Linked DNA regions of Daphnia pulex. The protein of the gene in region 7 interacts with the protein of the main gene of each other region in a pairwise test. Links are inferred from orthologs where the notes say so. Each region holds a gene or a part of one and is shown on either strand. Other genes may lie near its edges. The genes, in order: proliferating cell nuclear antigen-like; 3-hydroxyanthranilate 3,4-dioxygenase-like; calreticulin-like; proteasome subunit beta type-3-like; PAN2-PAN3 deadenylation complex subunit pan3-like; T-complex protein 1 subunit alpha-like; cell cycle checkpoint protein RAD1-like.

What was found.
Region 1: the proteins of cell cycle checkpoint protein RAD1-like (region 7) and proliferating cell nuclear antigen-like interact in binary tests that used the Caenorhabditis elegans proteins (3 or more experiments, as listed by UniProt). The link is inferred for Daphnia pulex from reciprocal best matches to the Caenorhabditis elegans genes mrt-2 and pcn-1.
Region 2: the proteins of cell cycle checkpoint protein RAD1-like (region 7) and 3-hydroxyanthranilate 3,4-dioxygenase-like interact in a two-hybrid assay, tested with the Caenorhabditis elegans proteins (2 studies listed by BioGRID). The link is inferred for Daphnia pulex from reciprocal best matches to the Caenorhabditis elegans genes mrt-2 and haao-1.
Region 3: the proteins of cell cycle checkpoint protein RAD1-like (region 7) and calreticulin-like interact in a two-hybrid assay, tested with the Caenorhabditis elegans proteins (2 studies listed by BioGRID). The link is inferred for Daphnia pulex from reciprocal best matches to the Caenorhabditis elegans genes mrt-2 and crt-1.
Region 4: the proteins of cell cycle checkpoint protein RAD1-like (region 7) and proteasome subunit beta type-3-like interact in a two-hybrid assay, tested with the Caenorhabditis elegans proteins (2 studies listed by BioGRID). The link is inferred for Daphnia pulex from reciprocal best matches to the Caenorhabditis elegans genes mrt-2 and pbs-3.
Region 5: the proteins of cell cycle checkpoint protein RAD1-like (region 7) and PAN2-PAN3 deadenylation complex subunit pan3-like interact in a two-hybrid assay, tested with the Caenorhabditis elegans proteins (2 studies listed by BioGRID). The link is inferred for Daphnia pulex from reciprocal best matches to the Caenorhabditis elegans genes mrt-2 and panl-3.
Region 6: the proteins of cell cycle checkpoint protein RAD1-like (region 7) and T-complex protein 1 subunit alpha-like interact in a two-hybrid assay, tested with the Caenorhabditis elegans proteins (2 studies listed by BioGRID). The link is inferred for Daphnia pulex from reciprocal best matches to the Caenorhabditis elegans genes mrt-2 and cct-1.

The regions. Positions count from the first base shown.
Region 1 is NC_060019.1:11,504,121-11,507,069, reverse strand, and holds proliferating cell nuclear antigen-like, read left to right. Parts: upstream 1-1,316; 5' UTR 1,317-1,448; coding exon 1,449-1,669; intron 1,670-1,730; coding exon 1,731-1,896; intron 1,897-1,974; coding exon 1,975-2,373; 3' UTR 2,374-2,449; downstream 2,450-2,949. Other genes in the region: beta-1,4-N-acetylgalactosaminyltransferase bre-4-like, read left to right, coding at 22-413, 469-587, 670-982. UniProt on the Caenorhabditis elegans protein: This protein is an auxiliary protein of DNA polymerase delta and is involved in the control of eukaryotic DNA replication by increasing the polymerase's processibility during elongation of the leading strand.
Region 2 is NC_060026.1:16,211,941-16,215,142, forward strand, and holds 3-hydroxyanthranilate 3,4-dioxygenase-like, read right to left. Parts: upstream 2,018-3,202; 5' UTR 1,731-2,017; coding exon 1,648-1,730; intron 1,585-1,647; coding exon 1,422-1,584; intron 1,359-1,421; coding exon 1,252-1,358; intron 1,188-1,251; coding exon 833-1,187; intron 770-832; coding exon 611-769; 3' UTR 501-610; downstream 1-500. Other genes in the region: arrestin domain-containing protein 17-like, read left to right, coding at 2,058-2,172, 2,231-2,353, 2,416-2,633, 2,692-2,874, 2,940-3,113, 3,179-3,202. UniProt on the Caenorhabditis elegans protein: Catalyzes the oxidative ring opening of 3-hydroxyanthranilate to 2-amino-3-carboxymuconate semialdehyde, which spontaneously cyclizes to quinolinate.
Region 3 is NC_060026.1:14,047,033-14,051,308, forward strand, and holds calreticulin-like, read right to left. Parts: upstream 2,801-4,276; 5' UTR 2,665-2,800; coding exon 2,583-2,664; intron 1,975-2,582; coding exon 1,870-1,974; intron 1,802-1,869; coding exon 1,598-1,801; intron 1,537-1,597; coding exon 1,385-1,536; intron 1,317-1,384; coding exon 1,008-1,316; intron 939-1,007; coding exon 774-938; intron 709-773; coding exon 490-708; 3' UTR 393-489; downstream 1-392. UniProt on the Caenorhabditis elegans protein: Molecular calcium-binding chaperone promoting folding, oligomeric assembly and quality control in the endoplasmic reticulum (ER) via the calreticulin/calnexin cycle.
Region 4 is NC_060028.1:6,178,896-6,181,620, forward strand, and holds proteasome subunit beta type-3-like, read right to left. Parts: upstream 1,501-2,725; 5' UTR 1,370-1,500; coding exon 1,367-1,369; intron 1,302-1,366; coding exon 974-1,301; intron 904-973; coding exon 666-903; intron 610-665; coding exon 561-609; 3' UTR 501-560; downstream 1-500. Other genes in the region: transcriptional repressor CTCFL-like, read left to right, coding at 1-55, 120-274; Bardet-Biedl syndrome 4 protein-like, read left to right, coding at 1,859-1,984, 2,059-2,171, 2,232-2,489, 2,560-2,713. UniProt on the Caenorhabditis elegans protein: Non-catalytic component of the proteasome, a multicatalytic proteinase complex which is characterized by its ability to cleave peptides with Arg, Phe, Tyr, Leu, and Glu adjacent to the leaving group at neutral or slightly basic pH.
Region 5 is NC_060025.1:5,199,312-5,203,480, reverse strand, and holds the start of PAN2-PAN3 deadenylation complex subunit pan3-like, read left to right. Parts: upstream 1-1,369; 5' UTR 1,370-1,606; coding exon 1,607-1,987; intron 1,988-2,050; coding exon 2,051-2,375; intron 2,376-2,522; coding exon 2,523-2,681; intron 2,682-2,796; coding exon 2,797-3,075; intron 3,076-3,154; coding exon 3,155-3,372; intron 3,373-3,454; coding exon 3,455-3,594; intron 3,595-3,697; coding exon 3,698-3,898; intron 3,899-3,966; coding exon 3,967-4,129; intron 4,130-4,169. UniProt on the Caenorhabditis elegans protein: Regulatory subunit of the poly(A)-nuclease (PAN) deadenylation complex, one of two cytoplasmic mRNA deadenylases involved in general and miRNA-mediated mRNA turnover.
Region 6 is NC_060022.1:2,033,944-2,037,920, reverse strand, and holds the start of T-complex protein 1 subunit alpha-like, read left to right. Parts: upstream 1-1,177; 5' UTR 1,178-1,349; coding exon 1,350-1,416; intron 1,417-1,505; coding exon 1,506-1,591; intron 1,592-1,659; coding exon 1,660-1,788; intron 1,789-1,850; coding exon 1,851-1,948; intron 1,949-2,017; coding exon 2,018-2,534; intron 2,535-2,595; coding exon 2,596-2,707; intron 2,708-2,772; coding exon 2,773-2,863; intron 2,864-2,932; coding exon 2,933-3,125; intron 3,126-3,188; coding exon 3,189-3,352; intron 3,353-3,410; coding exon 3,411-3,621; 3' UTR 3,622-3,977. Other genes in the region: uncharacterized protein LOC124195433, read right to left, coding at 100-489, 602-734, 854-882. UniProt on the Caenorhabditis elegans protein: Molecular chaperone; assists the folding of proteins upon ATP hydrolysis. Known to play a role, in vitro, in the folding of actin and tubulin.
Region 7 is NC_060028.1:2,685,039-2,689,081, reverse strand, and holds cell cycle checkpoint protein RAD1-like, read right to left. Parts: upstream 2,801-4,043; 5' UTR 2,674-2,800; exon of another isoform or gene 2,222-2,673; intron 2,163-2,221; exon of another isoform or gene 2,138-2,162; 5' UTR 2,058-2,137; coding exon 1,944-2,057; intron 1,845-1,943; coding exon 1,746-1,844; intron 1,686-1,745; coding exon 1,531-1,685; intron 1,463-1,530; coding exon 1,335-1,462; intron 1,279-1,334; coding exon 1,172-1,278; intron 1,109-1,171; coding exon 1,044-1,108; intron 1,019-1,043; exon of another isoform or gene 979-1,018; coding exon 759-978; 3' UTR 742-758; coding exon of another isoform or gene 706-741; 3' UTR 535-705; coding exon of another isoform or gene 423-534; 3' UTR 390-422; downstream 1-389. Other genes in the region: polymerase delta-interacting protein 2-like, read left to right, coding at 1-19, 80-205, 265-344, 423-534. UniProt on the Caenorhabditis elegans protein: May be a component of the 9-1-1 cell-cycle checkpoint response complex that plays a major role in DNA repair. Promotes DNA double strand break-induced cell cycle arrest and apoptosis, thereby playing a role in genome stability.

The DNA.
Region 1 (2,949 bases), on a different chromosome or scaffold from region 7:
ATCTTTCACCTCGTGAGTTAGGAAGCCAACCAATTAACGGCAATTTTTGCTTTCATCTGTACGAGCGCCAACTTTCTTCGGAAGGAATCGAATTAAACCTGAACATTAGTGATATTGTGCTGAAAACTTTCACCAATTCATCGAAAAATATTGCTATCGGTGGCGCTTCAAAGCCTGTTGATTGTTTCTCAAAATATCGCGTCAATATCGTCGTTCCCTACAGGCGACGTCCAGAACAACTACGTGTCTTCCTTCATTATTTGCATCGGTATTTACAGTTACAGGAAATCGACTACCGGATTATCGTCGTCGAACAAAGCCCGGAAATGCAATTCAATCGTGGAAAGCTATTTAACGTTGGATTTGTTGAGAGCCAGAAACGTTTTCCATCCGATTGCTACATATTCCATGACGTAATTTGTTTCTCATGAATTATTGGATCACCGAGAGATATATTTGTTTTCATAGGTCGATCTCATTCCCTTGAGCCTGAATAATATCTATGCCTGCACAAAGATGCCTCGCCATTTGTCCTCAGCTGTAGATACCTTCGATTATGAGCTACCTTATTGTGGAATCTTTGGCGGGTAAAGTTTGAATTTAATTTTATCTATTTTTCTGCATTTCATCATGCTCCCTGTTTTTTTTTTTTTTTTTTTTTTTCTGTAGTGCTGTGGCAATGACAACTCAACATTTCCAAAGTATCAACGGGTTTTCCAACTTGTTTTATGGATGGGGAGGAGAGGATGATGACCTTTACTTTCGTGTGTCTCAAGCTGAACTTGGCGTGGTACGATTTGAAAAAAATGTTGCGAAATATAAAATGCTTAGACACGAAAAAGAGGTTCCCAATCCTAACCGCTTTGTAACCATGAAAAAGAACAAAATTATTCATGCCGCCGAGGGTTTAAATAGCCTGAATTACACTATGTTGTCTTATGAGTTGAAATCATTGTATACGTTGATGCGTGTCCACCTGTAAATGAGCTAATTATTTGATCAATTGTAAAATAATTTCCCATGTATTACTCCTCGATTCGAGACTTTGTATTGTAATAGATTTGTGTTAAGTATTCCTGGAATTCAACATTTTTCTGTTAAAGTAACTAGTTTCAAAATCTCTATGACACTCACATATCCTTTAGTATTAGCCATTGTGTGCATCATTGCCACTGTCACTAGATCTGGAAACAGACAAAAGATTCGAATTTTTCCCTCCAACCTTGAGGCATTTATATATCACATGATCAAAATCGTCCAATCAGAATCGTGCGTCAGATGGCGATGATTTTGCCGCGAAAACCACGGCGGCAGTCTGCACTCAGTCATTGTTGAGTACTTGGAAGCGTTGAGTTGAGCGTACACATTCCTGCTACGTCATTTGCTGCTTCATCGTTGTTACTACGTGTTTCATTGTCAATTCTTATTTACATCATTTTATCATCATCATGTTTGAGGCACGTCTTCTTCAGGGTTCTTTGTTGAAGAAAGTTATGGAAGCATTGAAGGATTTGTTGAACGAAGCAGCCTGGGATTGTTCTGATGCCGGTATCCAACTCCAAGCCATGGACAATTCCCATGTCAGCCTCGTCTCTCTCAATCTGAGAGCTGAGGGATTTGACAAGTACAGATGTGATCGTAACTTGTCAATGGGCATGAATTTGGGAAGGTATGATTCATAACAAAATTGTATTTAACGAAAATTTCTTAACAGTCTGTTGATTTTACAGCATGTCCAAGATCCTTAAGTGTGCTTCCAATGAAGATATCATTACGATCAAAGCCCAGGACAATGCTGATACTGTTACATTTGTCTTCGAGTCCCCAGAGCAAGATAAAGTTTCAGACTATGAGATGAAGCTGATGAACCTTGATCAGGAACATTTGGGCATCCCTGTAATTGAGCTTTAATTTCTACTTTATTTCCCCTAATAGCAAACTGGTTTATAATTCCATATTTTTTTTTTTTTTTAGGAAACTGACTATGCATGCACCATTAGGCTGCCATCTAGTGAATTTGCCAGAATTTGCAGAGACTTGAGTCAATTTGGAGAATCTATGGTCATTTCCTGCACCAAAGAGGGTGTAAGGTTTTCAGCAACAGGAGATATTGGTACTGGCAACATCAAGCTTGCCCAGTCTGCCAAGGTTGACAAAGAAGAAGAGGCTGTCGTCATTGAGATGCAGGAGCCCGTCTCTTTGACATTTGCTTGCCGATACCTCAACTCTTTCACGAAAGCCACCTCCCTTTCGAAATCCGTTCAGCTTTCTATGTCCCCTGAAGTTCCCCTGGTCGTCGAGTATAAAATCGAAGATATCGGCCACGTCCGTTATTACCTAGCCCCTAAAATTGAAGACGAAGAAGCTGCCTAATTTTTGTATAAGATCACCACTGGCGCACCTAAGTTCTATGATGTCATTAAAAATCATACACTTTTTGTATTCCTAATTTCCGTGTTGTCTTAACTAATTTTCGTTTCAGGCTTTTATTGAAGCCATTCATTATAGCAACACGGTCTCCGCGTCTGCGAGCGGTGTCCAGAAGATATTCTGCCCCACTCATTACCTATTGCCAAGTTCAGTAAATAAGCGAAGTTCGATTTACAGTTTGACGAGTCCATTGTAGCGAGTTACTAAATTAATCTATCGTTAAAATTCTGAATTTTAGGAGGTAAGGTTAAAAATTAAAAACAAAACAACATTTCATTTTGTATTTTCTGGACTTGTTCTTTTTGCGATAAACATGATAATCATTGGTAGGAGCTCTTACCAATATTTAAAAAAAAAAGAACGTGAGACTTGCTGAAAAGTGAAATAATAGAGTGATGACACTATTTCATTCGGCAGCAGCAATGTCGAGCTCCTAGATCGAAGCATCGGAAATTGAGGGTTATTATTCATCGAAGAAGGAATATAGAAAGGACTGCAAACATTGACATTTTACAGTTG
Region 2 (3,202 bases), on a different chromosome or scaffold from region 7:
TTTTAAATTACCTGTGCTGCAACAGCACCAATACCATACTTGGTCTTTGAATTTCGAATATTAAAACCAAAGTCAACACTCACATTAACACTGCGTCTCATTGCTTGTAAAAAAACAAAAACTTTCAATAGATCGGGTTGCTAATTGATATTAGCAGGACGGGGTCGGTTTTATTTAAGAACGAATTGCCAAATTGAGAAAAATCGTGAACTAAAATGTTCAACCAATCAGTTTTCTTCTTTCACATTAGGTAATGAATTCAGTATTTAAGTAATTGGTTGAAATTAATATTTCTCATATATGGGGAGGAGGTACACATAGTAGAGTACGCCCTTTGTACTATGAGACCCAAATTCATAAACTTACAAGATGTGGAATTTAATGGGCTTGAACCAATGACAATCTCCTCATAAGGCGAGGCTGATAACCACAATGCCATACACTGCTGCAATTCAAACGCATATTTAAGGCCATATTTAAACCATAAAACAAATCCATTGTTTAATGAAATGCATTTGATATTTATTGCTTTACTAATACATTTAGTATATAGTTAGTCCCTACTAAAAAAACTACCTTTCAATATACTGACTGTGTTGGTTGTTTGGCATTAAATATTTCCATTTGGCGTGGGCATGGCTACTGACATAAGGAAACACGAATCGGCATCACGCATCAATTGGTACTCTTCTCCAGCCGGAATCAAAAGACTATCGTCGGATTTGAGGGTAATGTCTTGTCCGTTTAATTTCACAACGGATTCACCTTCCTGTTGAAATGACGTAAAATTTCATTAGAGAATGAATTAAAAATCAATTTTACGATAATTTACCAATTGCCACAACCAAATTTCATGTTGAATCGCTTTAAACTCATCGACTCCTTTGCCATAAATAATGACGTCCGATTTGTATTTGGCGCCATCAAACAAATTCTTCTTGCCATTTTGGTGGATTTCAGTGCCATAAGATTGGAGCCACTCTTTCAAGTTGAAAGGATTTTCCAATTGGAGTTGGCCATCTGGATGAAAATGAGGATTCTCCGGAATCGTTCCCGGTACAGGACGTCCTGTTTTGCATTGCTCCGAGGCGAAAAACTCTTTGATGACTGGAACAAGTTGAACTCCAAGATCGTCGCAATAAAACCACCTCTCAAACAGCGACTCGGTCGAATCGTTTACAAAATACCTACAATAATATTCACTTAAAAATATTAATCCTTCTAGAGAAATATTTTGATTACAGATTTTACCTGAGGCAATCCAATTCTTGTTTCGCTCTTTCTCTCTCGACTACCAACCCGATCGTGTCATCTTTCCTCTGAGGCGAATGCGGAATCTTTCCCGGAAGTAAAAATACCTTACAAAAAATTACAAATACATTAACAGAAAAATAGAAAACATATGAAATAATTTCACTTACTTGCCCTTCTTGAATGGCAACCGTTTTGAAAGCTCCTTGTTCCTGAACAATCAACTCCATCGAACCCTTTTTCATGTAGAATAACTCTTCACCTTCTTCAATATGGAAATCTTTACGCTGATTGGGCCCTCCGACAAAGAAGACTTTCAACTGTTTCTCATGCCTATTAAATAAAATTTGACAGTCAATAAAAAGATGATTTGTAAAAATACTTTGATTTACTCACATGAGTTTGTTGCAAACAGGTGGTAAGAAAGAAGCTTTGTTGTCTTCAATCCATTGATTAATGTTGCACAATTGAATGCTCATTTTGAACAACTTACTGCACACACTCTGCCCGGCTGTGTGCTAAGAAACGACTAAGACGCTTTTCCAAAAACAAAATTTTCCCTTGGCAGAAACGGCGGCCCTGAAAAGGTTTTTCTCCATAAACATCGTCAAGGTTAAGATGAGAAAAATGTATAACGGAACAATAGCCCAAGGACTTTTTGCTTCATCCATGTACGGACACCTTCAAAATGCGCGGGTATTTGAAATTTCTAATGAAAAATAAGATAATTTGTCGATTGGCAAACGTTGTAACGTCGACGTCGACTTATAACCATAGAAATTCGACTGAGTAAGTCATTAGCAGTCATGGGGTTCGGACGTTTTGAAATCGTGATTGAGAATCGCAATGGAATTTTCTATCCAGGACAATCGGTGAATGGAACTGTGCACGTTACCAACAGCAAAGTCGAAAGTCTGAAAGGTAAATTAATTGTTACAAAATTTGTGTCAACATTTTGTCGAATGAAAAATGTCGGTAGGAATTCAAATCGAATGCAGCGGCTTGGCAGAGGTTCGTATTCCCGTGAAAAATGACAAGAACACGGAATTTCGCTGCTCAAATGAACAGTATTTCGATTTCAAGTTCTGCCTCTACAATCCTGGTAAAACATTTGGTCATTTGTTGACAAGTTGAATTGTATTATTCACGTCTTATTAAATATAGGCAACCAGGTTATCGAGCTGAGCGTCGGTCGTCATCAATATCCATTCACTTTTGTTCTACCAACACAAATTCCCCCATCGTTCGAAGGATCTTTTGGGCATATTCGCTACACTATCCGTTCTGTCGCTCAACGTCCGTGGCTCAAACGCGACTACGCATGCCAGACTAGTCTCATCGTCGGTTCCATCGTCGATCTCAATACGTTGCCAGCGGCTGTGGTATGAAAAACATTGACATTTGGATCAAAAGTATAAGTAACATTTCCTCTGTCTCTAGCTACCGGTCAAAAAGATGAAATCAAAAAGACTTGGATGTTTTTGTTGCACCTCTAATCCCATTACAGCGCATGCAAAGATCGAACGTGCTGGATACACTCCGGGAGAGACGATCTTATTGAAAGCAGACACAGATAATGAAAGTGGAATATCCCTTAGAGGTTCTAAAGCGCAATTTATCCAGGTACGCCCTTAGGTTAAAAAAACTATTCGTACATTTTAATTAAAATTTGTCTTAATTTTTGTCAGATTACCAAGTTCATTGCCGCGGGGGAAACGAATTCAGACACCAAAGTCCTACAAGTCTACAGCCATGAACGTTTTACTGAGGCTGACATTATGGAGGCGCAATTCCTTGTTCCTCAACTTCCTCCATCTACCCTACCATTTTGCGGGATTATTGACGTGTCCTACCAAATCCAGGTGATCTCAAAACAGTTAAATACTAAACTGAATAATTTGTATAACCTAAAATTGTTCGTGAACAGTACATCGTCGATCCTGGTGCACTT
Region 3 (4,276 bases), on a different chromosome or scaffold from region 7:
ACTCACTCCCCAGATAGGGGAATCGGCAATGTATTTAAAAAAAAGTAGGAATTAAACGGGCGCCTCGAGCTCATTTTGTATAAAAAGAGGGATGATGTGACGCCATGGTTTAAATTGAAAAAAAAAAACCTTCATTCAAATAGACGAATTACAAAACAACACCGTATGAGGGGGGAGAGAAAAAAAAACAAGACTACAAAGAAACGGGAAGCAATATAACAGTCTAAATTCTTTTTCAATTTCAGTTCCAAAATTATTTTTTTGTCTTGAGCTAGAATTCCTCAGCTTTTTTGTTTTTTTAAAGATTATTGGAACCGAGATGCATCAGATTTTAATACCTCTGTTGAATTGTGACAACTTATTAACCGCCGATATAAAGATGGAACAGCTGATTAAATTATATAAATTTTTTTGTTGTATTGTTTTTTTTTTGGTGGAACCTAAGTTTTCTGTCAGCTCTTCCTTGTGTGTGTTTGTTATTTTTGCATTTTACAACTCATCGTGGTCTGCGTTGTCGGCTTCGGCTTCTTCAGCGGGTGCAGCAGGTTTGCTGGGCTCGGCATCGTCTTCATCTTCGTCATCTTCATCCTCGTTGTCTTCTTTCTTTGACTTGGCCTCTTCTTCCATCTTCTTCCGTTCTTCCTCTTCCTGAGCTTCCTTCATTTTCTTCTCGGCTTTGCTGGTGGCAGTCCACAGCTCATCACCAATCTAATGAAAAATTTAGAATTACTTTCTGTACAAACAACCATTAAAAGTCTAATTTGTATTATTACCTTTTTGGCTTCCGCAACATCGTCGGTGACGAGGACATTGTCGAAGATGGTGCCAGCCTTTACTTGCCACAAATCGAAACCAATGATGCAGGATTCGTCGTATTTACCAATGGTGGCATCGGGGGCGTACTCGGGGTTATCGATTTCTGGGTGGACCCAGACACCCTGCGATTAAGCAAAAAAGTTTTATAAAGACAAAGCCTCCCATCAACATTTTTAAATAGTTATACATACTTTGTAAGCGGGGTTGTCGATCTGCTTGGGTTTCCACTCTCCCTTGAAGGCAGGGTTGTCGATCATAGCAGGCTCCCATTCACCATCCATCTCATCATCCCAATCTTCGGGCTTCTTGGCCTCGGGGTCGGCAATGTGTTCAGGAACATCCCAGTCGGCGGGCTTGACATCTTCAGGATCATCGATCTTGGCACGGTCATCCCAATCTTCGGGTTTCTTGGCTTCGGGGTCTTTGATGGTCTTGGCAGGCAGGAAATCCCAGTCACTTTCCAAATCACCAGACTCAACTTTCTCGTTATCAATCAAAACCTGTGGAAGAAGACAAACAGTCCAATGAATAAACAGTGTGAAAGGTGAGCAATTAATAATGGACTTACTTCGTAGGTCTGATCTGGCTTAACGATGAGTGTGTACAAGTGAGTGTAAACATCATCCTTGGGTCTGATCTCTTTCTTGATGAGATGGTTCTTTCCCTTGTAGTTGAAGATGACGTGGACTTTCTTGTTGGAGGGACCGCAAATGTCAGGGCCTGTGACAGGATTTGGGGGTTATTTCAGCTACTATATCAACAAACTATTAATAAAACTTACCAAACATGATAAGGTATGGAGAGTCTCCATGCATATCATCTTGCTGCAAACTGCAGTCAAACAGCTTGACATAGCCACCTCCACAGTCAATGTTTTGTTCATGTTTGACGGTGAATTGGAGGACTAGTGGCTTATCCTTGTTGCTGAAGGGCTTGAACTTAGTGGAAAGGCCATAAAACCTGGCATCTTGGGAAGTCTGGATACCTATTAAGAGCAATTCATGTCATCAACTATCATCCAAAATAATTTATAAAATCCAGATTAATCCTTACCCAAATCTTTTTCAGCATCACCGTAGAATTTGCCGTGAGTGAGAACAAATTTGCCTGCTGTTTCACCTTTGTTGGTCGACTGGATCCACCTTTTCTCCCAGGCAGCTGAAAAGAACAAGATAAGACGTACACGTCACCAAATGCCACACATGAACTCGACAAATCGAAAAAGCCGGGTAGAGGTCGTGGCACGCTAAACGTCATCAACTTCAGTTTGAAGGTGAAGAACTTTTTCCTGTTATCTCTAGTTCACTTGGCTTTTATCATAATTTCTATTTCTCTTGTTACTAATCGGAAAATGTTAGGATCGTTTTCTAATTATTTTTAACCTTCAAATTTTTTTGTCGTCCGCAAACTCTCGTTCACGTCGTTTTAATTCCGCATGGCAGCGATGAAAACAGATGATCAACTTGATTGTAATTAAACTCTTTTTTAGTGGCATTAAAAGTGAAATTCATATTGCCACGTCCAAATAATTCGTGCATTACAACGATATCAAGCATTTGGCTTTGGCATGCAAAGTGCTTGCGTGTGAAAATGGCAGATATGTTAAAAATAGCTAGAATATTTGTTTTACGTGTTACACAGCCTCCTGTTGTAAGCTGACGAAATTTCTAGAAAAAGACTCCCCTGCTACCCTTGACAAGTAACCCTCTCCACCATCAACCAGATATCGGGAAAAAAGGGAAATACTTTATGAATCTTTTTCTTACCTCCATCTGAGAATCGCTCGTCGAGGAAGACTTCGGCCGCAACAACGCCGATCAAGGCGATTAATAATGCTAAAGCTTTCATTTGTACAAATGAATGTGATTGAAGACGATGAACGAGTGACCAGGACAGACGAGTGAGACAAACTGACGTGATGACTCTCCTTTACTCAGGAGAAGTTTTTACGGAAAGGGAATGGGAAGGTGGATAACACCCGTAATGCTCTCATTGGTCGGTTTGTCACACTAGAGCCAGAGAGATGAGCCACTTGGTGGGTGGTATCCGATCGACCTGCTACCTAGCGATAGAGGGGCTACTAGCCGGTGTTGCATATGAAGGCCCGGGAAGATTCCCCAGGCTACCGAGAGCTCATCGTTAGGTGGCGCGCAAATCATCGGGGTAGAATCTTCTAGAGAGTTGCTCATCTCATTCACGAACTCACGTTTTTCTCTGGCCGTCACGTGACTGTCGTGTACCAATCAAATTGCGCCGTCTGGCAGGCGTTCAATTTTCCACGTTTATTCCAGTTTTCGTATTATCCGGTCATCTATGAAAACGCGTTTTAATTTAATTCTCATGAACTTTATGTATTCTATTGTTAATGCGCATTTTTTTCATTCACGGCCAAATTCTTTTCTGTGGACTATTAAACAATCCTGATATTGTTATATTGAGTTTGACAAGCATTTCCTGTATGCATTTTCAGGTAATCAAAATTGGTAATCTGACATGCCCATATGGAATCTCAATATCGATGACGTGTCGTAAATAGAATATCTCTCCGATTCTCCCTTTCAATAAAAGTTGGGATACCATATATTCCCACATGTTCATACAGCCATGTGACGTATAGCTCGGGGGGTGTTGTCTTGCGATTAGATTGGACCACGTACCGAGGGATAAGACGCGCGTTACATCCCAATTGGAGGGGATTCTTACTACGTAGACAAGTGACCAAAATCGACACGTAATCAACCACAAGCAATCGTAACGCTTATACAACCGTATATTCATGAAAACATCATATCCGACGAAAGGGGGGGATAATAAAAAACGAACCGTTTAACAACCGAGAAAACACACATAGAATAATAATGTTACAATCAAAAAGAGAGAAAAAGAGAGAGAGAGAGGACAATTAATTAGAAGATTACATGTAAATTTGGGGTTTTGCAATCATGAGAATTTGGTATTAAAAGGGGGAGGGGAGGAAACACTGCAAAATGGACCAAATATTTTTTCTTTTTTTTTGTATATCGATGTTATTTTTGTGAGGTCGCGCTTCTAAGTCCGGTTTTCTTTTTCCTTATTCTTATCCTGCCATGTGTGAACACCAATTAATTTTTAATTATATACATAATAAGGTTTTGTTTGCTGCCAATTCGTCTTCGAATAGCAATTAGGGAAATTGAGGTGATTTTCACGTGCAACAACATTCAGAAGGGGAGAGGACGATAACGCACAACAACCGAGAAAAACGCAAAAACGAATGCATTCTTTCTTTAACAACTAATATAAACTTTTTCCTGCCAAATAATCAATGCACGGAATGCTCAACTTTTGATATTGCGGACCTACTACGTCGTGCCAATTTAACCCTAAGTAATCGCAGATAAACGATAATATGAGACCGATGATGTTTTCACTGTGGCTACTCAGGGAAGTGTGTGTTTGGAAAACGAGAAAAAATGGGTAC
Region 4 (2,725 bases), about 3.5 Mb from region 7:
GAAATGGATGGTTCCCTGATGGAAGGAGAAGGAAATACTATGACCTCCTTGGATGGTAAACTACTAGTTATTACGTTAATTTCGTTAAGTTACTACATCGAATTTTATTTATTCTAAAGATGAAATTGAAGATTCCATGCAAGCCACCCCTCGCGTTCGTCGTAGCTCTCAGGTTGCTAAAGCTCAGGATACTAGCAAGGACGTGGCTAATTGTTTTGGATTCGACGACGATGAAGATGACGAAGAAGATGAGGAGGAGGAAGATGAAAAGTGAAATTCATGTTGCCTATGAACGTCATTAGTGTTTTCGAAAGCATTGTGTAAACTGTTTTTCTGAACGGGAAGTTTTCGGTTGGAAATTTGGACGAAAAAAAGAAAAGTGCGAGTACATTTTTGCCGACAAGTATCTCTTTTTGAAGCGTCTTTGAAAACGTTGGATTCTTCTGTTTTCCTTTTCTGTCCATTGTAATTGGCTTGATGCAAACAATACACACTATAACTGAATTTTTTAAATGGTGTATGATCAGTTCCAAAATACATTGATAATGAAAGTAAAAATTTCAATCCATCCTGGTCTTGAGCATCCTAGTTGTCACTTTGTCTTTTTCACTGTAAAAGAAAACATTATTAGCACAAAACACAAATTTATGAAAAAATTAACTTACATGATGTGAACAACACCTCCCCATCCAGAAATAGCATCTCTATCAAATGCATTCATTAGTGCCTGGCTGATGGTTTCAAAAAGATCATCAGGTTCTAGGTTTGGTTCCCACAAGGCTTCACACATTCCAAAGAGTTGTTCAGCACATGTTCCAGCTACAACAAAATCTTCAGGCATGTTAGGACAACCAATAAGATCCATGGCAGAAATAAATGGTTCCCAGGTAACCGGATCAAGCCCTAAAACAGACATTCAGAAAAATAAAATATAATTACCACATTTTAACCAAGAGGCCATTAAAGAACTAACCTGCAATGACAGGCTCAACAAAGTAAGGTCCAAAGCGTCTCTCATACAAAAGATTGGACACCATAGCAGAAAATGTTTGTGGTTTGATTTTACGGCTTTCTCTGAGCTCATAGAGATTGAGACGGAAGCGAAGTCTTTCATGGACCGTCAAAGTATCAGTTGCTAAGCCAGGAAGACCAATGTAGAGATGGGGACCCATTTCAAACATTCTCTGAAAATCCATAGCCAATGTGGAAGTTTGGACTCCAAAACGACGATCAGAGGCAATTGCCACGCATCCCTTGCCTTTCATTGCAAGAACACATCCACCATTGTATGATAGAATAGACTAAGAATAAAGTAAGAATGAGACATACACACACATTAAAAACTTGAATAAATAAGTGGATTTACCATATTGTCAGTTTCAATGATCAGCTACCGAATGTTTCGTTAGGTAGTAATGAACACAAATTTTTCAATTTTCGCTTGTCACTTCAGTACGACTGCAGCGCGCACAATCCCGAACGGCAAACCGGTAAAATCCATCTATTGACTTTATGAGCAACTACATCGATAAAATTTTAATTTAAAAAAAAATCATCAAAAACAACCAAAGATTTTTTATAACTTTATAAATTTTCTAGATTTACACGTCTTCTTCATTTTGGAGCGTTAGTTAAAGTTTGTTCTCTTACGTTTCCCCTCCTCCCTCTTAAATTTACCATTTTGGTAACCATAGAAACACGGACATTCCTTAAACATAACAAAGAATTCTAGGTTCAGGCGTTCAGGTTTCGATTTTGGTTATGAAAAATAGCTGTTGACATTTTCTTTTTCAAATACTATATCTCAGAAAATACAATAATTTCACTCAGCTTATTCTTCAGTGTATTGATAGGTAACATGAAAACAAACTGGCTTCTAGAATTTCATTTTGTGCGTGGGGACTTTATATTGTGTAAGAAAATTATAGAAGATTTGTCAAAAAAGAATGGAAATCGTCCGACCGAGTTCTCTACATATATCCTAGTATAATTTACTTGACATGGTAAGAGACTAAGACTCATTTTTTTAAATGTCTGTTTCTTTAATAAATTATGAAGGCACGAATGTACTATGCGGAGGGAAAAATCCAAGAGGCGATTCAACTGTTTCAAACGTGTTATGCTCAAAATCCGAATAATTCCGGAACGCTACAAGAAATCGCAAAATGTTTGTAAGTTTCTGCAAAACCAAGATAACAATTTTGAATTATTTATTTAAAATGTGTTTTTAGAATTGCGCAAGGTCGCTACAAAAAAGCGATTGAAGCACTCACGCATGCGAAACTTTTGGCGAAACAACCCGATTTTTTAATTCTGTATGACTTAGCTTGCTGCAATGCCAACCTCAAGCAATATGATTTGGCTGAAGAAAGTTGCAGAGAAGCCTTAAGAATTTGTAAAAGCAAAGCCGTCTATAAACTGCTTGCCGCTTGCCTTATTCATCAAAACAAAATTGGAGACGCTATTGAAGTTTTTCGCTTATCATTGAGGTCAATATAAAAATTACTTGAGTTATGATATTTATTATATTCACAACAGCTAACGCGAATATGTAAGTAGACTATTTCCCAAGAGCAGTCAACTTTATACCACTTTTGGTAAACTGTGTGCGGATATGAATTTCGACGATGACGCATTAAAAACTCTGAAAGCGGCAATTAAATTAAATGACAACAACGTTGTCGCATTAAACGAACTGGCGGTATTACATCAGGTATTTTCTCAT
Region 5 (4,169 bases), on a different chromosome or scaffold from region 7:
TGGTGGGGGTTGAAGGAAGGTTGCCATCTTGGATGGGACTTTTCCCAATTTGGTGCAACCACAACCCAAAAGCATTGACGTTGTCCATAAGAAAAGGGTACGAAAAGAAGGACAGTCAAGGAAGGGAAGAATGGAGTGGGAAAGAAAGGGGTCGGTCCCTCTTTTTTTCTCTCTCCCTTTGTCTTTCAATTCGTACACTTTCTTATGGACAATGTCAATGGTTTTTGGTTTGAGGTTGCACCAAACTGGGAAATGTCCCATCCAAGATGGCATCCTCGAACCACTCTATTCCAGGGCAACGCAAAAAGATCAATATTAGTTGGCCATAACTGATCATTCTTTCCAAACACTTCTGGATCCAATATCCAGTCGCTAGCAGTGATAAGGAGATGGGCCACTCTGTGTAAAGTCCAGCAGTCGACATTTTGCCCCCTCCCCCTCTTCAGACGACGAATTCGACTGCGCTGCTCCTTTCGGCGAGCTCCGGAAGCATTTCCCAGTAGTTCTCCCCCTTCAGGACCGCCCCTATCGCAAAGTAAGGCAAAGCTTCCGGAGCTCGAGGAAGCAAAAAGGCCATGCCGCTGACGCAGTTAATTTTGAAATATTGTATTAATTTTAAAATGTGAGAATTACCTGCTGCATTAAGCTGACCAAACTTTATGAGGCCAAAGCAAGCTATCAATACGGCAGTGGTGCAAACAGACAAATACAGTGTTGAAACCAGAGCTATAGATGATGGTAGAACCACTGCCTGTAAAATTTTCCTCTAAAAATTTTTTTCTAAAGTTGCAGCCAATATCGCGAATCGAAAGTGGAAATATGTGCTTACGTATCGATTTAGACCTAATTGTCAGCGCCAGCGGCCATCTACTGAATCTTTTTTAATTTTAGTACTGGAAAAAAAATATGTTTCCCAACACACCCGCTGTGGCTCTGTAACTAAGGTCTCCAGCCAGAACACTTCCAGGAGGAAAAGGCAATGGAAGGCCTTTCCTTATAAATGGTTCTACCATACATCTATAACTCTGCTGAAACGGAAAAAAGTGGTGCCGAACTCGACGAAACTGGGGCGGAAAAAAAGTGGCGAAACTGGTTGCAACCGTCCAACTGCTCAATAAACTTTCAGGCAACCTGCGATCATCGATTTATTATTCCCACGATAGATGTCGTGGTAATAGAAAGTTTTGACGGTTGTGCAGGTCATGGTGCCGGTTGTGCATGAAGTCCATCAAGTACGCCTTCATTTGTGTCCATCATGCTACGACATCTTTCGTGGCACTCGGCTTCAACCAAGCAGTACAGCATCAGTCAGCCAGCAACAGCATGCAGTCAGTATGGTCAAGTAAATGGTACTTTTCGCCCTCTGTTGAATAAAACAACTGCTAATCGTTGAAGTGGTTTGTTGGTTTGTCGAGCTCGACGAATAGGAAATAGGCCTATATTATTTTTCGTAGAAATTACATTCTCTTCATTGTTATAGTCTTCTGTACATTGTAAAGTGTATCAGTGTATATCATTTGCGAATAGTGTTTGACTCTGAGGGGCAGAATCTTAATATTGGTTTGGTCGTTATTGGCCTGGACAGAGAATTGTCTTAAAAAGGTTTATGATGGACGATATAATTAGCCATTCACGTAAGCCTGTTGTGTGTCGCTATTTTGCCGCCTCTGGAACTTGTTTTTATGGAAATGATTGTCAGTTTTTGCACAACTCAGTTTCTCGATCAAGCGTTTCACCTACATTTCCATTGAATTCATTTTCATCTCCAGTTCGCTCAGTCAGTTCCACTGCTTCAAATTCGACAGAGTTTAGTTTGTCAGTTATAGAGAGTAATTGCTTACATCAATCATTTGGGAAGAATGTAAACACAATTCCGTTGTCTAATTCTGCAATTTTAATTAAAGATGAATACGTGCAGAAATCACAAGAGTTACCCATATCACCAGATTTGCAAATAGCTGGAGGTTCTAATTCGTCCCTTTTTGAGGTATGTGTGTTCTGTTCATTGTAATCTATTGTTGTATCTAATAAGTTGTTTTGCACAACTCAGGAAAATGTTGGAGGTACCACTTATTACTACACGCCAGATGAAAATGTGAAACCCACTGTAGAAGAACCAATAATTGGAAAACACAGTCAAATTACTGAAAAAATGTCTCACACTTCTCTTTTAAATAGAAGAATTCAATCACCAAATCAATTGGTCTCAACATCACAAAATCAGATGTACTCAGTTTATAGTGGACCTTCCAGTTTTTTACAGAGCTGTAGTGGTCAGCAGAGATCTTCTTTTTTTATGAATGAAGATATAAGAGCTGACTTACTTCAAAGAAATTCAGTTGCATTATCTATATCAGACCCTGCTTTGTTTCCAGGTATAGCCAACTTATTTCATGTCCTAAGTTTATATTTTATTATTTAAGAAACACTTTATCTGAGCTGTTTGATTGTAGCAATCAATTTTATTACAAACATACATTAACTTTATGAAGTATCTAAATTGCATACATTCTTTTAATTAGATTTGCCAACGGAAGTTGATCACTATCATGAGTTGGTCCCCCTTGAAACCCACACTTTGAATCATGCTGTCAAGTCTAACACTTATGGCTTAATTACATCTACATATAAAGCATCAAATAGCAGAACCGGCATGAGATATTGCTTGAAAAGGATTCATGGTAATATTTAAATGAATAAAAACTTTAAACTGAATCTTCTTACCTAATATATAACCTTACAAAAAAGAAGTATTGAGATTTATTGGAGTATTATTATTGTTTATAATATCTTTAGGTTACAGAGTGACAAGTGCTAAATGTATGTCAATGGTAGAGTTATGGAGGAAAGTGCAGCAGTGTCATTTAGTGACTTTGCGAGAAGCATTCACTACCAAGGCCTTCGGTGACCATTCTATAGTTTTTGCATATGATTATTACCCTGGAGCTGAAACACTTATGACTAAGTATTTGGCTTCGACTGCTCCACACCTTGATCCATTCAGCAGTGACCCATCTGCTCCGCGTCCATATACAATGCAGAAAAACAGAATGCTGCAGCAACAAGCTGGCAAAGGTTGTTTTTGTGTTTTCATTATCATTATTATTTTATTGAGTATTTTATTTTATTTTTGATGCCTCCGCGTTTTTGCAAGGTGTGTTACCTGAATCTTTACTTTGGAGTTACATAATCGAATTGTGCTCGGCGTTGAGATCAGTACATTCTGCTGGTTTGGCTGTAAGAGCATTAGATCCATCTAAAGTACTTATAACTTCAAGAGGCCGTTTGCGTTTGTGCGGTGGTGGAATTTTTGATGTACTTACCTATGACTCTAGTTCTTCCAACATCACAGCTTTGCTTCCTCATTATCAGGTATGTAAAATTTTCCTTTTGTAACATACTTATTGTTATATAGTTGATGTTTAACTGTCATCATTTATGACTAAAAATGAAGCAAGAAGACCTTTTGGCCTTGGGTAAACTTATTCTTGCCCTGGCTTGTAATTCGTTGTTGGCACTTCAAAGGGATAATGTCTCTACATCTATGGATATCATCAATAAAAATTATTCTTCAGATCTGCGCAATTTGGTGATGTGAGTATTTTTTAATATTATATGTAGATACGTTAAAAACTGCAATCTGGGTTAGAACTATCTATACTCTGTAAAACTGCCCACTGAACTATGATTTCGTTAGGTATCTGCTCTCCACTACGCAAGGTTCAAGATCGAAAAACATACAGGAAGTGATGCCAATGATTGGAGCAAGGTTTTTCAGCCAGTTAGAAGCCGCCACTCTGCATGCCGACTATCTAGAAGATCAGCTAGCCAGAGAATTGGATAATGGCCGGTTATTTCGTTTGCTTGGAAAATTGGGAACCGTTGTTGATCGTCCAGAGTAAGGCAAATTAAATTGGTTAAGTTAGTCTAGTTACCTATCGAAGTAAACTTTATTGAATGTTTAAGGTTAAATTTGGATTCGACATGGTCAGAAACGGGAGACCGATATTTGCTTAAATTATTTCGCGACTACATGTTACATCCTTGTACGGATGATGGACGACCATGGGTCGATTTGGCCCACATTGTCGCATGTCTCAATCGACTAGATACTGCTTCTCATGACAAAGTAAGGACTTCATAATTTGAGAAAGAATTGAAGTGTATTA
Region 6 (3,977 bases), on a different chromosome or scaffold from region 7:
GAACAAAACAACTATGAAAATTTCTCTAATAACGGCTTCTATAAACGACATAAACTTGGTATAAATATTAATGTAGTTAACGGCAAGTGGCTATCCTCATTAAGAAGCATTGCCAAGGATTCCGGGCAGAGGAGGAGCCGGGGCCATTTTCTTTTGCCTGATTCTTCTGTTACATTTCACATCCGTCGAAGTTATATTGTTACTATGTTCATTTAAAAGTTTCTGGTTCGCCTCGACCGTCGAGGAATTTTCAAAACCATTTTCTTCCTCCTCTTCGATCACGGTAGCTTGATGTCTAAATCGAACATTGCGTCTCTTGGCCACAGCTTCTTCGGCAAGCTTCTTGGAGACCAATACAGGTGACGGGATCTTCACATCTGTACTGGGGTCGTCTACAGACGGATGTGGATTCTCTATATCCGGCTGCTGCCGGTTATCCCCACTTCGATCCGTTGGGTCGTTCTCTGCAATACTGTTGTCCCCGATGCACTATAAAAGAGATTCACCACAAACATCCGTTGGTTATTATTGCTATGGGGCATATACAATAAGTAATAATACGTTTGAACAGCAACTTTTAATATTGAATTGCGGGACTTACCAATATACTTTTCTTAATACTGATGGTACCACACAAAAGTCCGAATAGTCCTCGCTGCCTCCTCGGTCCTGCGTCGATGGCTGCCATGGCGAAGAGTCTATCACAATGTTGTATCCGAGTTGAAGTCGATTCACTTTAATGAAGATAGCAAAATAATATTTAGTCATCCATAGACCATCTAGCTAAAGTCGAAAATACTACAACTGTGGTGTTCAAGTTTTGAAAAAATCACCTGAGTTTCAGTTAGCTTACAAAATATCATGCTGATTTATGCCTGACATATCGTGTTCTCGAACCGCGTGCTCTACGTAATGGGCCTCTCGTTCGACTAGCTAATAAATGTCCCGAGGGTCGGATTTTAGTGAATGAAAGGAATCAATGGATGATATTGTAAAAAAAAATGGCAGACGAGCACCTAAATAAATTTACCATAAGATTTTATTTACTAATTTATTTTCTAATTAATCTATGTATTAAATATAGCTGAAAATGATTTCCTAAATTCAAGAATGCTGCATTTACCTGCAAAGCATACCAAATATGAAATGCCCCATGTGACTGCGACGGCGTCGCATTTTAATAGTACTAGCTCGACTTCACTTGTGGCAATAGTCATTTAGCCCAAGAGCCAGAACGTTCTGCCCGTCATCTTTCACGTGCAGCGTGCTCGAACAACGTCAAGAAGTGTGAGCAAAGAAAGGAGCTGATTAATACAGATTTAGTAATAGTCTCATAAAAAAGTACCAAAATGTTCTCCTCAAGTCTGTCTCTTCCTGGAAAACGTACCACGGGCAATTCAGTTCGCACCCAAAATGGTAATTATTTTGTTCTTTGTACCGTGAGTTATAACGCCTAGTGCCGGTACCGGTTGACATTTTATAACACATGTTTTTAATTATCCTAGTTTTGGCTGCAAGTTCTATCGCCAATATTGTCAAAAGCTCTCTTGGCCCTGTGGGACTAGACAAAATGCTGGTCGATGATGTTGGGGTAATGCAAATTGTGATATTTCGACACAAAGGAAAATTTTCTGTAACCTCCCTTTTTTGTTGTTTCAGGATGTCACTATTACTAATGATGGTGCTACTATCCTAAATCTACTTGAAGTTCAGCACCCTGCTGCCAAAGTGTTGGTTGAGCTTGCTCAATTGCAAGACCAAGAAGTTGGAGACGGAACAACCTCAGTGGTTAGTTGCTCGGTACTGGATTGTTTATTTGCTTTCAAAGGTCTAAACTGTTTTTGTTGCAGGTTATTGTTGCAGCTGAGTTGCTGAAAAATGCAGATGAATTGGTTAAACAAAAGATCCATCCTACCTCTGTCATCAGTGGTTATCGTCTGGCTTGCAAGTAAGATCACCTACAAATCTCTTGTTTTGACATGTGATTTGATTTGACAAACATGTGATTGTTTTAAAGGGAGGCAGTGAAGTACATTCAGGACAATTTGACCTTGAGCGTCGAGGAGCTTGGAAAGGACTGTTTGATCAATGCCGCCAAGACATCTATGTCGAGCAAAATCATCAGCGCCGACGCGAACTTCTTCGCCGCCATGTGTGTTGACGCTGCCAATGCTGTCCGCGTTACAGATAACAAAGGGCAAGCTATCTATCCAATCAAGGCGATCAACGTTCTTAAGGCTCATGGCAAAAGTGCTCGGGAAAGCCTTCTCATCACTGGTTACGCCCTCAACTGCTCGGTTGCTTCCCAGGCAATGGTTAAGAAGATCACCAACGCCAAGATTGCATGCCTTGATTTCTCTCTTCAAAAAACCAAAATGAAAATGGGAGTTCAGGTTCTCGTCACAGACCCCGAGAAGCTCGATGCTATCCGTGCTCGAGAATCTGATATTACGAAAGAGAGAATTCAGAAAATCCTCAATGCCGGAGCTAATGTTATTTTGGCTACTGGAGGTATTGACGATTTGTGCCTCAAGGTAAATAGCGTACATATAATCTGAAGTCTAATCGCTAACTGACATTTATTTGTTTATTCAGTATTTCGTAGAAGCAGGTGCCATGGCTGTTCGTCGATGCAAGAAAGCTGACTTGAAGCGTATTGCTAAAGCGACAGGAGCCACTTTACTTTCTTCCATGGCCAATCTCGAAGGTATTACATTATTGATTATTCAACCTTTCAGTGATGTTCGGAACTATATATATTTTATTCTTTAGGTGATGAAAGTTTCGAAGCTTCTTCTATCGGTGAGGCCGCTGAAGTCTCAACGGAGCGCATCTGCGACGACGAGCTCATTATTATCAAAGGGTGAATTATTTGTGGAAGCTAATGTTATCAGAATTAGCATTTGACATATTTATTGTTTTTTTTTTTTAGAACCAAAGCGCGTACTGCTGCATCCATCATTCTTCGTGGTCCCAACGACTTCTACTGTGATGAGATGGAACGCTCGGTGCACGATGCCCTCTGCGTCGTCAAACGTGTTCTAGAATCCAAAACTCTAGTCGTTGGTGGTGGCGCTGTCGAAGTTGCACTCTCTATTTATTTGGAGAGCTTCGCTACTTCATTGGTAAGTGGTACTTTTGAATGCCAAAATTTGATCACATGATTGACTTTTCGTTTTAAAATGCAGAGCTCCCGAGAACAGTTGGCGATTGCCGAGTTTGCTCACTCTCTGTTGGTTATTCCCAAGACCTTGGCAGTCAACGCTGCTAAAGACGCAACTGATCTGGTGGCTAAGATGCGTTCCTACCATCACTCATCGCAGTCAAAGCCTGAGCATGCTAATTTGAAATGGTAAATCATTTTGGATTATCTGTTTTAAAATATTTTATTGATTGCTGTTTCTTTCAAGGATCGGGTTGGACTTGATGGAAGGTGCTGTCAGGGATAACCGTCAAGCCGGTGTCTTTGAGCCCGCTGTCTCAAAGATCAAATCTCTCAAATTCGCTACAGAGGCCGCTATCACCATTCTGCGTATTGATGATATGATCAAGCTTGATTCCGAAGATAAGAACACGCAAAGTTACCAGAACGCGTACCAATGCGGACAGTTAGACGACTAGATGATTGAACAAACAAAATAACTAACGTCATTTTATCAGCTGTTTCTAGTTCTGCGGTCAATCTGAATAAAAATTAAGCTTTTTCCAGAACTAATTGCTTAATAGAAACTATTAAATGAGCTGGTTAGGGTAAGTTAACATTAGCCTTGAAAAGCCCTTTCCATATTTGTTTTTCTATTTAATAATTAACTTGTAGAAGTCACGAATTAGATCTCTTTGCACCCATGGGCGTGGTCACACTCTATGCGAACAGCGGAAAGTGCTACACGTGATTGTTGGACTGAGACGACTATCAGGTAGACTACGTCCAAAAATGGAAAATTGATTGAGTTAAACATAGAAATTCGTTGTTTTAG
Region 7 (4,043 bases):
AAATTCAACTGTCTTTTGGGTTCGTTCCATTGGTAATGTGAATCAAATTTTTTACAAATGTAATTTTTAACTTTTGCAGTGGCGTTACTGTATCCGGCTCGAAAACTTGGGAGAACTGTCTGTACAATTACGTGAACGGCACTGGCGTATTTTCAGTCTTTCGGGTACCCTAGAAACGGTTCGAGGAAGAGGAGTAATTGGACAGGTAATTAACGTCAATAACCACCGTTCAAAATTAGAATGTAACATTAAATCGTTCTTAAGGAACCGGTCTTGTCACCCGAACAACCAGCGTTCCAGTATAGCAGCCATATTTCACTACAAGCACCATCAGGGCATATGTGGTAATTTCAAGTTATTTTTCACTATTTATTAAAGAGTACAACAGCCAAGTTCAAATAATTTATTTTTTTTATGAACAGGGGAACGTTTCGAATGGAGAGAGAAGATGGGCACACCTTTGACTGTCGCATCCCTCCCTTTTCATTGGAAAGCAAGAACGAGGATAATAGCTTGCCAACCGGCGTGGTTTAATGGAGTCGTTCATGATAATCATGAAATATGAACAACAACAAACTTTGTACATGAAAGACAACTGCTGGCTTTTTAGTTTTTTCTAAGGTTTTCAAAGATCTTCGTTCTAGAATAATTCTAGGGCATTTTTTTCGTTTTAGTGATGCGGTCAATAATTCGTTCTCGTGGCATTCATTCGTCGTCGTCGAAGTCGACGTCCGCAGGGCACTATAAGAAATCAATTATTAGAGTGTATAAGGGAGAGGACGGTTGTAAAACGTAATTTGACGGATAGAACTTGGAAAAAAAAATGAACTTACGTAAAAATCGATGTAACAGTTGTGGTTGTCTTCTACCTTGATCATGAATTGGAAACATATGAGCCCCGTATCGTCGATTCGTAGCGAAACCTTTTGCGCTATTCCAAGGGGTTTGATGGATGGTTTCATCAAGGAGAGCTTGTATCTAAAGTCAGAAATTGAGCTAATACATCGTGTACGCCTTATTATGTATGTGTATCTATTTCGTACTTAAAGGACACTGCCGAGGTACAACGAAGAGTTTCTATTACATCGCTCTCTTTCGGAATATCGACCTTGAAACCCAAAACGTTTAGAATTAGAACGCGCTTCACTAAAAACTTTACAACGTGATTTACATGATAAGTTCCTGAATGACCAAATGTTGTGATACGAAAATTTGACGAATCAGGTGACAAAGAAAACTGAACAGTATCACTAGTCGAGTCCAACTCACAAAACACCTCTATAAAAACAATAATTATATTAGGAAATTTCTGTCTTCTTTCAACGCTTAATTACCTTTAAGACATTCCGAACTCATAATGATACGACCGATGACGTTAGCCGACCCAAAATCGTAATCCAGGACAGGATCAAAATGAACTGTACGTATCTTGCAGTCAGTGATAACTCCTGATTCTTCCAGCCTGCCAAAAAAAAAAATTATAATTCGAAATAAGTATAAAGAACGATTATTCTTTGTAGTTTTACATACAAGATAGAAACGGGAGTCCCATGGCCGTTATAGTAGAGTTTCAAGGCTGGTGTGCTGCCACTTTGAAGGTTGTTAGAGCCAAATACATTCAAACATTCCAGAAGCACAGTTAAATTAAGCTGAAATTTAATCTCATCTTCTTTAATAACATAACTCTAAATTTCAAAGAGTTAGTAAATTTTGTGAAAATTATTGTTTTTGTGAATTCTTTTTACTTGAAAAACTCCAGGCTCTATAAAGGCATTTAGCTGGACACTTTTCATGTCTTCAACTGTGACTTTTAATCCATCTCTAGTACAGCAAAATACGGAATTCTGAAAGGAAAGCAAAATCACAAGAAGGATGTAATAGGATTAGCTTTTGATCGCTAACAAAACATGTTTTCTCTGTATTACAATTCTTGAAGAATTTACCTCTTTGAAATTTATGGATTTGAGGATATGTGAGATAATTTTTGCATTATCCATACGTATCATCAAGATGTGACTTTGGTCTCCAGACGTGTTTTGAAATGGAAAATTTGGCATGGTGAATGTGGGACTCGTTTGCTCTTTAATGTTGTGGGAGTAGTTTTGAGAATTATGCAAAGGGTTCCTAAAGGATCATCCTGAAATGATCAGTGAAAAAATGTTCTGGTTAATAAGGCTAGGATTTTTTACAGAAAAATGTACTGCACAAAAAATGAACCGACCCAACTGTTACATCCAAGAGAACTATGATTCGAGACGAATTATTCTAGTTTTGACTGAATTCAAAATCTGGTTGTGTTTATCACAATCAACTATACAGCACAATCAAATTTGTTGGATTTAAAAAGTGCTAAACTGTCTGCAATGGAATGGAAGTAAAAATTTCAAGTTTTAATCTCGAGACGACGAAAAAGCCTACCGGCTTATTGATTCAAACAGGAAAATATTGTTATTATTAAACAGAAAGTCAGAAACATTGCGGCGTTGTACAACGCGAGAAAACAACAGTTTAGAGATGGGGAATTCGAAAATGAGCACGCCCATTGGTCGTATGCGACCATTGCGCCACCTAGAAATGTTTTGGCTTCCAAACATAGTTTTCAACTGATTAAGGCAGCGGGAAATGAATTTAAATGTAAAAGTCATGAAAAGATGAAATTTTAAATAAAAATACATAAAAGCAGTAAAGGACGAATGAAAAAAGAACCAAGTTGATGGCTGTTGATGGTTCGGAGCGAGGGAGAAAACTTGCCGCCAGTATCGTTGTTGTAGCGGTCGACGCGTGTACTCAGTTCGGTACCGCCTTAGTTGGCGGTGTTGAAGGGGAGCAGTTCTCTTTCACGTGCGAGGAGCAACGTGATAACAGATACAAGACAAAAAACAGCCCAAACGTCTTTTTCGGTGCTGAGACTTAAACCGTGAAGTGAAGTGTAATTCTTTTGTGGCTAAGTATGTGTGCAATCGAGTTTCGATTGTTTGATTTACCGGCATTTATAACCCAGTAATTCGGCACGTAGACTACTCGGCAAGCAGCAATAGTAGTAGCTTCGGCGCCCCCAAGAAAACCTAAAGGCAAAAATCGGTGACGCCCATTTTGGTGACGTCATCGCTGGGACACGTGTAGCCTGGTGCCTCGCTTGAAGTGCGTAGTTTTTCTCGATAATATTATCTTGTGATGTAGTGTTAGTTTTCAAACGTCACTTTGGCGATCAGAGTGACTTTGGTTTTTCGACTAAATGCAGTATCTTTTGCCGATTTAATTCTTGTCGCATTTAGTTTAGACATTAAAAGCAAGCAAACAAAGAGGCATTTTCCTCTTGTTAAAAGTTTTCTTTTGATAGACTATAGAGAGCTCATTCAAGGCCGCCAGCCTCAGGCCAAAATGAAACGAGTACTGAAACCCAAAAGCGAATGACCCTGTGTGCGTGCGTCTGTGTGAATTTTTATTTTTTTTTTCATTTGATATTGATGCAATGTGGATCCTGGATGTCATCGTTGTTGTTCAATGCTGTTACACTGTTGACTAAAACTGTTTGTGTCTTCTTGACCCACAGGTCTAACACTCAGCGGCTGGTGGTTGTCCAACAATGAGTTTGGAGATTCTCCTGGAAGCCGCTCTATTTGTAGAGCGACAGACCCAAGGTAATTGCTTTGCACAAGTTTAATCTAGTCCCCGTTCCCTCCTAGAAACAAGCAGGATTGCTCATACTGACATCAGTTTGTGCATGCAAAGTCTTTATAATATCAGACTGCTTAGAAGCTCGTGCACCCCCAGTCTTGAATTTCTCGAGCTCTGCAGAGCCAAAGGTTGTGAATCAGTTCCCTATTGTGTTTGGTGTTGGAGGATATGAGCTCATCAATCTTTTGGTTTTCTGGCCTTTGAATCTGTAATTGCCCCCGCCAGGTGCCTCTGTTGGAGCGTGTCTTTTTTATTTTATTTCTTCTTCTTCCCCAACGTCACACTACGGTCATCGAGAATGTCGACATCGATTGTTGACCTCGATCTCTACGAAGTTAGAGCCTGCGCATTGGCATTTTGACGTT